2 linked regions of the Drosophila melanogaster genome follow. The main gene of each other region encodes a partner of the protein of the gene in region 2 in a complex. Each region holds a gene or a part of one and is shown on either strand. Other genes may lie near its edges.

Region 1 (4,057 bases), on a different chromosome or scaffold from region 2:
TATTTGTTAAAGTCGCTCATTCTTGTCTATTTTTAATTTGCCGCACGTGCATTAAATGACGACAGTGCTGACTATTCAGCTAGATTTAAGCTAACTTGGGCTGAAGACACATTGAATACTTAATAGACGAGTTGAAAGGGATAAGAGTGCACTTCAAATGCGTCAGCACTCTTTCTTTTATGACGAAATCCACTTATTCGACAACTGAATTTATTTTTAACTACTTCAATAATATGATTTTGAAGCCAAGTCACACACCACACCTTGCGATGCTTCTTCTTGGCTATGCAAACAAAGCCGTTCACAGTGAAGCGCCTTCAAATTACGGCGCGCATTGTGATCGTTTTAAATAAATTAAAAATTATGGTTCCTTTGAAAAGTTCATGGTAATGGTAAGATAAAAGCGGCTACCTATAATTAACTCAATTGTCAATCATCAACAGTTCCACCATCATACTTGTACACCCGTACCACACACCCACCCATACAGCACAATAAGCAAGATTTCTTTGTTTTCGTTTAATATCGATCTGTAGTTTTATTCTTTATACAAAAATGAATTTCACAAGAAGCCGTTCCGAATACGACCTACATACATGTGCTGTCGCCATAAGTCAGTTGCCTAAATATTCTTTCGGTTTGGAGTTGGATTTGCGTGTTCGTTGAGGTTTCTTGATTGCCTGACTTGACTATGTAACTCGTTTTGTGTTATGTATGGTTATATAAATATATATTTACATATTTATATAGGTTCTGCCATTTTATATTTAACAAAGGACTCTTATTCCTGCGCAGCATCTCTAACAAGAAGAACTCTTCAACAAGCAACTATGCATTCAATAATTAGATATATGCGGGCTACATTTATAGATCCTATTCACATGAAGTCGTCATAGTCTTCGGTGAAGTCATTTCCGTACTTTTGGTAACCGTCAATGTCCTGCAAAAGAGCGGATTAAATAAGTTCATTCGTTGATCTCGAACGGCGGCGATTGAAACACTCACGTCGTTTTCGGTGCGGAGAGTGACCTTGCCCTTGCCCTTTCCAGCGGGCTTTTTAGCATTGGCCTTTTCCAGCTTCAGCTTTTCCGAGTGCAAGATTTCCACGTTCATCTTGACCTTTTTGATGTCAGCAGCGCTCACTAGATAAGGTGCGAAATCAAATCAGATAAGCCGTCTTTAATTGTCAGCCAGCTAATCACTCACGATTCACGCATAGGCTGCGCACCAGATCCTCAACAAATTGGGGGAAGTGCTCCGACTCGCGGAATTGGCCCACCTTCCAGCTGAGCGTTGCGCCAAATTCCTTGAACTCCTCCTTGGTCTCGGGGTTGAAGGCGTCAAGACCTCCGCACGTACTCGTCACACCGAACGCTTCCTGGGCATGCTTGAGATCAGAGGCCTCCTGGATTTTTTGCAATCGCAGCTTCTCAGCCAACTTTTCTGCAGGCGATAGGTTGGCCAAACGTTTTGCCTCCGCTTCCTCCTCTAGGAGCTGTTAATAACAGATGATAACAATATAGCCAATGATTGAGAAATGCTTTTGAGCCTTATCTCACCGCCTGCTGTTCCAGTTTGGCTTTTAGCGCCTTATTTGGCTTCGGTTTGGCTGGTGCTTCTGTTTTCGTAGGCTTCTCCTCGTCCTTTTTTTCCTCCTCATCCTCCCAGCTGTCCTGTGGGCAGCAAATAAACAAATGATTCGATCAGTCTGCTGCAAAAGTGCACACGTGTACAGCGAAACGAAAGTGAAACCGAGTGCAGAAAAACAAGTTTTGGCCCATGGCATTTGTTGTTGGGCACTTGGATAGTTGGTTTGAATGCGGCACTGCTTTCGATCTCACTTGGATTTCGTTAGTCGCACCTTGATGTCCTCATCCTCGTCCTCGCCCTCCCACTTGTTTACGCTGGCGGCGGCAGTCGGCCGGATGACCACCTCGCTGTCTGCTGCGGATTCTGCCAGGTAACAGAATGAGTTCCAGGAACATGGTGAATAACAATGATTTCAAACGGTTAGTTGGCACAGTGGCTAAAAATACTCATCAAGGCTGGTTGCACGGCACTCCAACAACAACAGCAATAGCAGCAGCAACAACAACAACAACGACGGAGACCACGTTTATTGTCCGCCGTGCAGATGACGCACCGCCCACTCTTCCGCCCAGGCCAATCGCAACTTACCCCAATCGTCGGCCATGTTAATGGTTGCCTATTTGCTTGCGGGATTTGTGCTTCTGGATGGGATGGTGCTGGGATCGACTTGTTTCCAGCCTCGGCAGCGATTTCAGGAATTTTCCAAAACCAAATTTCTGTGGATCTGTAGTGTGCCCAAGGCGCGACTAGCGGAAAATGCGTGGGTAACGTCGCCGATAGTCTGTTGCCATCGAATATTCGTAGTGCGGCCAAGGTGATATCAAGTTATCGACAATTTGAAATTTGTTACCCTACAATATTTCATTTTTCATTTTTTTCCTTTCTTGATTGTAAGATTGCTTATTTTATTTTCAAACACAAATTTGTCAACTTTGTTAAGAAATCTTTAAGTTTTTAAAGATTTGAGTTACCCTACAAGTTTTTTTCAAAAAAAATTCGTGATAAATCTCCCTCTTCGTGGTGTTCTAAGAAACTTACTCTTAGAGTTATAAGGAAAATTGATTCGACTCGATAAATTATATATAGTAGAGAGTATATACATACATAAGCATGTTCTTGATAAGAAGAACTAGCTGTGTCGTTATATACCTCGAACTCCCCAATTGCTGACTAAGGCTATCTTATAGTCGAGGAATTCTTTCGATTGAGAGGCTAAGTCATCCTTATTGGAGTTAGAATTGGTCTAGTTAAGATCTGGATTTGTTTGCAAAATGTGAATTATGTCAAACGTCTGCAATTCTCAATGGTTACATCTGTTTTTAACATAATCATGTTAAATGTGGCTTTTTGTCCCAAGAACGGTTTTAAAGATAATTGTGTACTTTCTTTACTTGACTGTTTTGGCGATTTTGTTAACAAAGAACAACATCCATTTCTGCATGCATAAAAAGTATCATTTTAATAACGTTAAATTAAATTGGTATTCTTACAGATTTGTATTTCATTTTACGTTCATCTTCAGCGATATCATTGATTTTCTTCTTTATCCACTCATAATATGAGGAAGTTTTCGTGTAAACCGCTGGCCCATATCCGTAACTGGAGGGTCCCCCTCCGTAGGACGTTATTCCGGCTAGGTAATAAAATTGATCAGCACCCCTGCCCACCGAAGCCATCAGCGGGCTACCGGAATCTCCCAGTCCGGTGTCGGTGCCATCCCATCCCATGGCACATATCTGGATGTCCTTATCGACGAGCAGTGTTGGATACCGATTCAAGCATTCATCCGGACTCATTCCACTGATGGTGCCTTGGCGAAGTACGGTGCTTTTTTGCTGCAGACCCGAATCGCCCCAGCCGGCAATTTGAAAAGGGAAGTTTTTGAAGGAGGAAGTTGACAATTCAATGCCAGGCCAAATGCAAATGGGTCTGATCTGAAGAGTGTATCTGAAAGAGAGGACATCGATGGGAAAATGTGAAAAGAGGGAACCCCAAAGAGCACACTACTTACTTCACCCGACTCTTCAGACGCAACAGAGCAATGTCGTTGTAGTGTCTTCCATTTCTCGTGTAGTACTGCTCGTGCGGAACCCTCAGATCCACATCGATGTCCACGTGCGCTGGAGCCCATATCTTGGCTCCATTCGGCAGCCAGGTGTAGTCGGGATCGTTCTCGGTGTCATGCTCGCCCAGGCGCACACGTGCCACGTAGAAGTCATTCACATTCAAACAATGGGCTGCCGTCAGCACATAGCGACTGGCGATCAAGGAGCCCGCACACATGGGAGACGGTCGCTGCTTTGCTGTGTAGGCTTCGTAACCCAGCAGGACTGTCCAGGGAAACTGGTTGGACTGTGCCTCCATGCCGCCTACGATATATGACGAAGGAGGACTCTGTCCGCAGACCCTGCTATCTGGTAGTTTATCCCCTGCAACCATCGGGCAGCAGGTAAAAACCATGTGCACT
Region 2 (6,175 bases):
ATTTGTTCACGTGGACCGAGATTCGCGGCAGCGGCACAGACAGTGTGACCAGGGGCGCGCACCGCGGAGGATCCGCGAGGCCATGGCATTAGTGCCAAGTTCGCAAGAAAATACTAGTTGAGTGTGCGAAGAAGGCGCGGGCTCATATTATCGAGGCAAATTTTCAGAGGCAGAATATTTTTGTTTTGCTTGCTATAAAAGCTTTTCTAAATTTACTCGAATTTATTCCCAACGAATATGGTTTTACCTAAGAAAGATGTCACTTTTTTAAAATAAGTCAAGCGTATGTGATAATACAATTTACAATACTTTTGAATGCATTTTTTATTTATGGGCAATTAAAAAACCTAATGTTAAAAAGCCACGCTTCCAAGAACGAACTTTGTAAAACTATAGAAGAACCCGCATTTGTTTAGTTTGCAAACTACATTTTAATGTAGTTTTAGCTCTGTCGAAATATAAATTTAAAGGGACTGGTTTATAAATCACTGTACGTATAAGGGAAGCTTGGTTCATCCTGAAATCTGATAAATAAGAATTAGAATTTTTGAATTAAACCAATAATAACCACTTTTCATTTCTTTGATTCCCAAGGTTCTCATTCGACAATTTCACTTTTCAATTTTTTAGAACATAGTTATTTTATTCGAAAGTACTTTAATTAGTATCGGTCCTACAACCATCTCAATTTTAACTATCTGGCACAAGCTTTGGATAGATAGATATAATATACCGGCCGACTGAGCTCTACACCAATAAAGTACAAGTCGGATGAAATAAAAACTTATTAAGAATATTATGCTGGGTATATACGATGATGAAAATAAAAATTAACGACGCTTAACGCTGGTCCACTCGCCATCATCGCCAGCTTTGTTCTCTGAAAGATGTAACGCATTGATAAGAATGGAAATTAGGTTTGCTGCTGAGATTACTTACCCTTTTCCTGGGCTTGATCGCGCTTAGCTGCTGGTTTTTCCTCACGGGTCGCAGGAGCAGTACGCCAGTTTCCGCCTACTCCGCCACTGGCTGCCTCCTTAGGAGCAGAGCCGCGTTGATCGCCACGAGTCTCGCGCACATCTCGGTCGCGCCTCTCAGCTGGGCGACGGGTTTCCCGATCAGCGTGGCGTGGAGCGTCGCGCCAGTTCCCTCCAGTTTCCCGCTGAGGCTCGTCGGTACGACGCGCCCCGTCGGCGCGGCGGAATCCACCGCGCTCATCGTCACGATCCCGGCGAGGACCATCGTCACGGTCACGCCGAGGCCCATCATCCCTGTCGCGACGAGCCCCATCAATGCGGAAATCGCGGTCACGTTCTCCGCCACGCCGCCACTTGTCATCGCGCGATTGCGGAGCGCCACTGTCTTTGGGAGCAGCTGCACGCTGTGAATCTGGCTCTCGTCGCACACGCCAAGAGGAGTCCGCTCCCTCGTTGTCCTTGCGGTCACGGTCACCGCCTCGTTCAATGCGCTCTCCACCACGCTCGAGGCGTTCTCCACCGCGCTCGATCCGTTCTCCTCCGCGCTCGATACGCTCGCCACCACGGTCGTTGCGTTCACTGGCCGCAGGTGCAGCACGACGCCACTCGCTGGATCCGCCGTTAGATGCGCTTGGACGGTCACCGCCTCGAGGACGCCATGTGTCACGGTCCTTTTCAGTGCGTTCGCGCTCCGAGGCCAACTCCCTGGACAGGCGGTCTCGATCTTCCTTGATTTTACGCTCAGCTTCCTCCTCCTTGGCACGCTGCTTTTCGTATTGGGCACGACGCTTTTCGTCCTCAGCCTCACGCTCCAAACGGCGGGCTTCTGCTGCGGCGCGCTCTTCGGCAGCCTGTGCCAAGCGAATCTCTTCCTCCTTGCGAAGACGCTCCTCCTCTTTCTCGCGAAGGAAGGCCTGTCGGCGCTCCTCGCGGCGTCGAATAATGCGGTCGGCTAAGCGCTTTTTGCGCTCTGCCTCCAGAGCAGCCTCAAACTTTTTGAGCTTTTCGACGTAGAGGGAGGCACGTTCTTTTTTAAGGGCCTCAAGGAATTCATCCCGGTCCGGATACATGCGCTTGAGACGCTCCTGCTGGGCGACGGCATCCTTCCGTTCGGCAATGGCATTCTCGATGCGTGTCTTCTCGGTTGCTTCCCAGAACTCCTTGTCCTTAACCTGCTTTTCGGCCAAGTATTTTTCGAAAAGCGGTATCTCCTCCAGGCGCTTGGCGCGTTCGAAGTAGTCGATTTTCTTCTCTTGCGATTTGAGTTTCGACTGCAGTTCCTTGGCCTCGCGCTGAAGTTCCTCGCTTTCCCGCTTGGCGATCTGCTCGGCGTCCAACTTCTTAATGCCTTCCTCATCCAGCTTGGAAAGCATCTTCTTACCATGAGCCGTCTGCGAGATTTGCTGAACCTTCTCCTTGAGACTCTTCTCCCGGATGGCTTGGATTTCGTTCTGATGGCGCTTGCGCTCTCTTTCTTCTTGCTCCTGCTCGAGGCGCTTCTGTTCGGCCAGTTTGGCCTTCCGCGATTCCTCCTCCTGACGCCGCGCCTCTTCCTCTTCACGAGCATTATTCTGCTTCTCGATGTACTCCTTTCTGTCCTCGATGATCTTCTGTCGCTGAAGAATACGCTGGTGCTCGCGATCCTTGATCTCATGGTAATGGTTTACCATCTGGTTGCGGAGCTTGGCCCGCTGGTCACGTTCACGGTTCGGGTAGACGATTGAAACTGCCCGTGTCAGAACAGTAGACATATTAACCAACTGAGAGCGGATCTGTTCCGAGGGCATCGATTGCAAAGCGGGTCCGTCGGGGCGGTACTCGCGTTGACTCTCGGTCAGATCAGTGCCGAAATAGATACTGTTCTTCTGGTGGTCAATACGAATCTGCATGTCATTGTGACGCACGGACTCGACCAGCAGTTTTTCCAATTCAAAAATGTTGCAAAAACTGGCCAGCTGCAAGAGACGCTGGAACTTAATACTCTCATAAACCTGAGAGATCTGACGAATCAGACGCATTATAGTCACGTCCTTCAGCGATTGAATGTAAGGAGTGAGCAGAGCGTTTTCGGGCCCGTTCTCAATGAAGTCCACGATAGACTGAATGCGCTTGCACAGATTCAGTGGGTTGAAATCCACCTCCAACCAGTTGTATAGATTGCGAAAGTCCTCAGATACGAGTTGAGGAACATTCAAGCGCACCTGTGTTTATGAATTAGTCATAAGTCATTACTATATTGCGTGATACTTACCACTTCACGAATAAGGGAGACGCGAGTAGGTGGCTGGGGCAGGCCCAAAAGCACGGCCAACTTCTGCGCCTTCTCCAGGGGGCTCTTGTCCGCCTCAATAAACCTGTCGAACTCTGGATGGGCCGAAGGCAACGGAATAGAAAGAGTGGCCAGGAGAACGTGGGCAGCCATACGCTGCAAGTCGTCCTTCGTCAGGTTCTTCTTCAGCTCGCGCGTCAGCTGGAAGAGCTTCAGCAGCGCTGCAGCGTGGAACAACTGGTTGCCGGCCTTGCTAAAGACCATGGCTAATTTTTGGTAGTAGTTGGCCATGGTTTTGGGCACGGGTGTCTTCTTGGACAGAGCCATCAGGCCATGGATATCCTCGATTGCCTTGTAGGCCTCTTGCCACAGCTCCATCTGGATGGCCGAGTCAAGAAGGTACAACCTGGTGTCCAAGCAGAGCTGCTGCGTTTCCACCTTGTTGATCGAGACACCGGTGGTCTGGTTGCTGCTCTTGCAAATGTCCTCCAAGTGTTTGCGCAGCTTGTCGCACAAGCGGCGAAACTCGCTCTTGCGGTTGTACTTAAGGCAGAACTGGAAGGCCATGCGAGCGATATCGTGGTACAGCGCCTCGCAATGCGTGTTTACGCGCAGCAGCTCTAGACACTGGCAGTAGGACTCCCACAGGAACTTGACCCACGGGAGCAGAATAGTGCGGTCGGAGCGGTCCTGTGCGTCCTCGCCACACACTGCGCTCATTAGGATGCTCTCTGGCGTGGCAATGTTGTCCAGGTCATCCAGCTCCAGAACAGCAACGGCCGCCGAGGACTGGGCTTGGGCAGCCTCTGTGTGCTCTTCGGCCATTTTCAGGTAGCCGCGGATTACATTTTCCAGAGAGTTCACGTTCACCAGCTGGAACATGTTCCGGTACTGGAATAGTCCCTCCTTGGCGATGTGCGACTTCTTGAGTTCCACGCAGAGGTACAGGTACTTGAACATGAGCGGTTCGATGACCGTCTCCGAGTAGGCATAGTTCCATCGCTTGTTCCGGAAAACTTCCTGCAGCGTGTCCAGCGCCCTAAGCGGCTTTCCCACTTCAATGAACTCTGTGACGAAGAGAGCGGCGTCGAGTTAAGAGAGCACACGATTCGCGAAGACGAAAGTTTCTCTTCAGACACCGCATGGAAAATTTTCAGCACTCACCATTAGCCCTTTTTAGGGCGTTTTCCGGACGTTGCGTATAGCGGGCCATTTCCGATCGCTTTACTTACTTGCGGCGGCACTTCAAGTTGATTTTGATAGCAGGTCTGGAGCGTTTTGAGACCTGGGGCTGCTGAAAATTGTATAAATCTTCGGCTCGCCTACGTGTGGCTGCAATATTAATGCAAAATGGCCGAGTCGACGGCACGCAGGGCTACACCTGGCTGCGTTATCGATAGTTCAGGCCGATAGTTGCCGATGGTCAGCTAATCGCAGTGCAACTCCGCTAGCTCACAGCAATAACACGAGGAGTAATGAAGTCGCTCTAGAATATAAATAAACAATTCATTAATTAAAATAGCGACATGGTCAACTGGAGGAAGTTTATCTTGTGGTTCGCCCAGGAGCATGTCGACTTTCGCGTGCAGGAGTTTGATTCGCTGGTCAAAATGTTTGGACTTCAGGTCCGGCGGCTTACAGAACACACCAGGGTAAAGTGTTTTAGTACCAGAATTTTGAAAACGCAAGATTAACAAATTCCACCTCCCCTATAACTTTTAAAACCTGTGGTTTAATGTTATATCCAAACTTGGAATTTTATTAATATGTTTAATATTTTTAACGTAAAAAAATTTTATATGTATTTGTAAGAGGAAGAAAATAGTAAACTATATTTTCAAAAGTGTTTTCAACAGGTAGAAATTTAGCATTACTAGCTATAAATTATATACGATCGTTGAGATCTCAGGAACTACAAAACCTAAAAGGTTTCGAAAGGATACCTGATACCTGGTATACATACATTACGAATACGATCCGCGTACCTGTTAGATGTTTTTAGTGTAGGATACTTTGATTACATTATTTTTAGAGCTTGCGACACATATATAAATACTTCTGTAGTATAGAAGCATCAGCATATATAGTTATATTTATATTTTTTAATTTCGGTATTACAGAAACCATTTTGGTTGGTCGAATTTCGGGACACGGATACTGCGTTGCTATATGCATCCAGGTCCGTTTCGTTGCGCGCCATGTTCGAGCTCTACGCCCACTCCAACAAATTACCCGAGTTTCACCAGAGGCTACGGAATCATGTTACCGCGAACTGGCATTCGCTTGCGGAATACTTTCGGGTGGATGCCAGTTTTAAGATCGTTGTGGAGACCTACAACAAGCACTTCAGCCAGAGGGAAAAGGTTGAGAAAATCGAGTCCATGGATTACCTGCCAATAGAGGGAACGGTCAATCTGGAGAAACCCGTGGTGGAGTGGTGGTACATCGAGTTTTGGGGCTTGGATCCAACGGCTGTGCCACCTGAGCCGGAGGACATTCTGTTTGGTCGGCTGATGGCCCATGGTCAGCGGCATTTGATCAAGGAGCTTTCGCTGAAGCATCGTAAGTTTATCGGTAACACCAGCATGGACGCCCAGCTGAGCCTGCTAATGGCCAACCAAGCGATGGTACGCAATGGGGATCTGGTATTTGATCCGTTTGTGGGAACGGGCTCGCTTTTGGTAAGCGCCGCCAAGTGGGGCGGGTATGTCCTGGGAGCGGACATAGACTACATGATGGTGCACGCCCGCTGCCGGCCGAGCCGGATAACCCAAAAAGTGCGGGAGAAGGACGAGAGCATTCGGGCCAACTTGAAGCAGTACGGCTGCGCTGATCGCTACATGGATGTGGTGGTGGCCGATTTCTCCAACCCGGTGTGGCATTCCCGCATCTCGTTCGACTGCATAATAACAGATCGTAGGTTTATTCT

The links.
Region 1: eIF3a (region 2) and eIF3j share a complex: the UniProt entries of both Drosophila melanogaster proteins name them as parts of the eukaryotic translation initiation factor 3 (eIF-3) complex.

What each region holds. Positions count from the first base shown.
Region 1 is NT_033778.4:9,967,357-9,971,413, reverse strand, and holds eIF3j (eukaryotic translation initiation factor 3 subunit j), read right to left. Parts: upstream 2,486-4,057; 5' UTR 2,195-2,485; coding exon 2,179-2,194; intron 1,954-2,178; coding exon 1,862-1,953; intron 1,674-1,861; coding exon 1,560-1,673; intron 1,496-1,559; coding exon 1,207-1,495; intron 1,143-1,206; coding exon 1,006-1,142; intron 941-1,005; coding exon 878-940; 3' UTR 517-877; downstream 1-516. Other genes in the region: CG12134 (uncharacterized protein), read right to left, coding at 1-20; CG12133 (uncharacterized protein), read right to left, coding at 3,063-3,537, 3,602-4,057. UniProt on the Drosophila melanogaster protein: Component of the eukaryotic translation initiation factor 3 (eIF-3) complex, which is involved in protein synthesis of a specialized repertoire of mRNAs and, together with other initiation factors, stimulates binding of mRNA and methionyl-tRNAi to the 40S ribosome.
Region 2 is NT_033777.3:4,429,289-4,435,463, forward strand, and holds eIF3a (eukaryotic translation initiation factor 3 subunit a), read right to left. Parts: upstream 4,608-6,175; 5' UTR 4,460-4,607; coding exon 4,411-4,459; intron 4,314-4,410; coding exon 3,229-4,313; intron 3,179-3,228; coding exon 940-3,178; intron 881-939; coding exon 831-880; 3' UTR 510-830; downstream 1-509. Other genes in the region: CG1074 (uncharacterized protein), read left to right, coding at 4,773-4,898, 5,367-6,162. UniProt on the Drosophila melanogaster protein: RNA-binding component of the eukaryotic translation initiation factor 3 (eIF-3) complex, which is involved in protein synthesis of a specialized repertoire of mRNAs and, together with other initiation factors, stimulates binding of mRNA and methionyl-tRNAi to the 40S ribosome.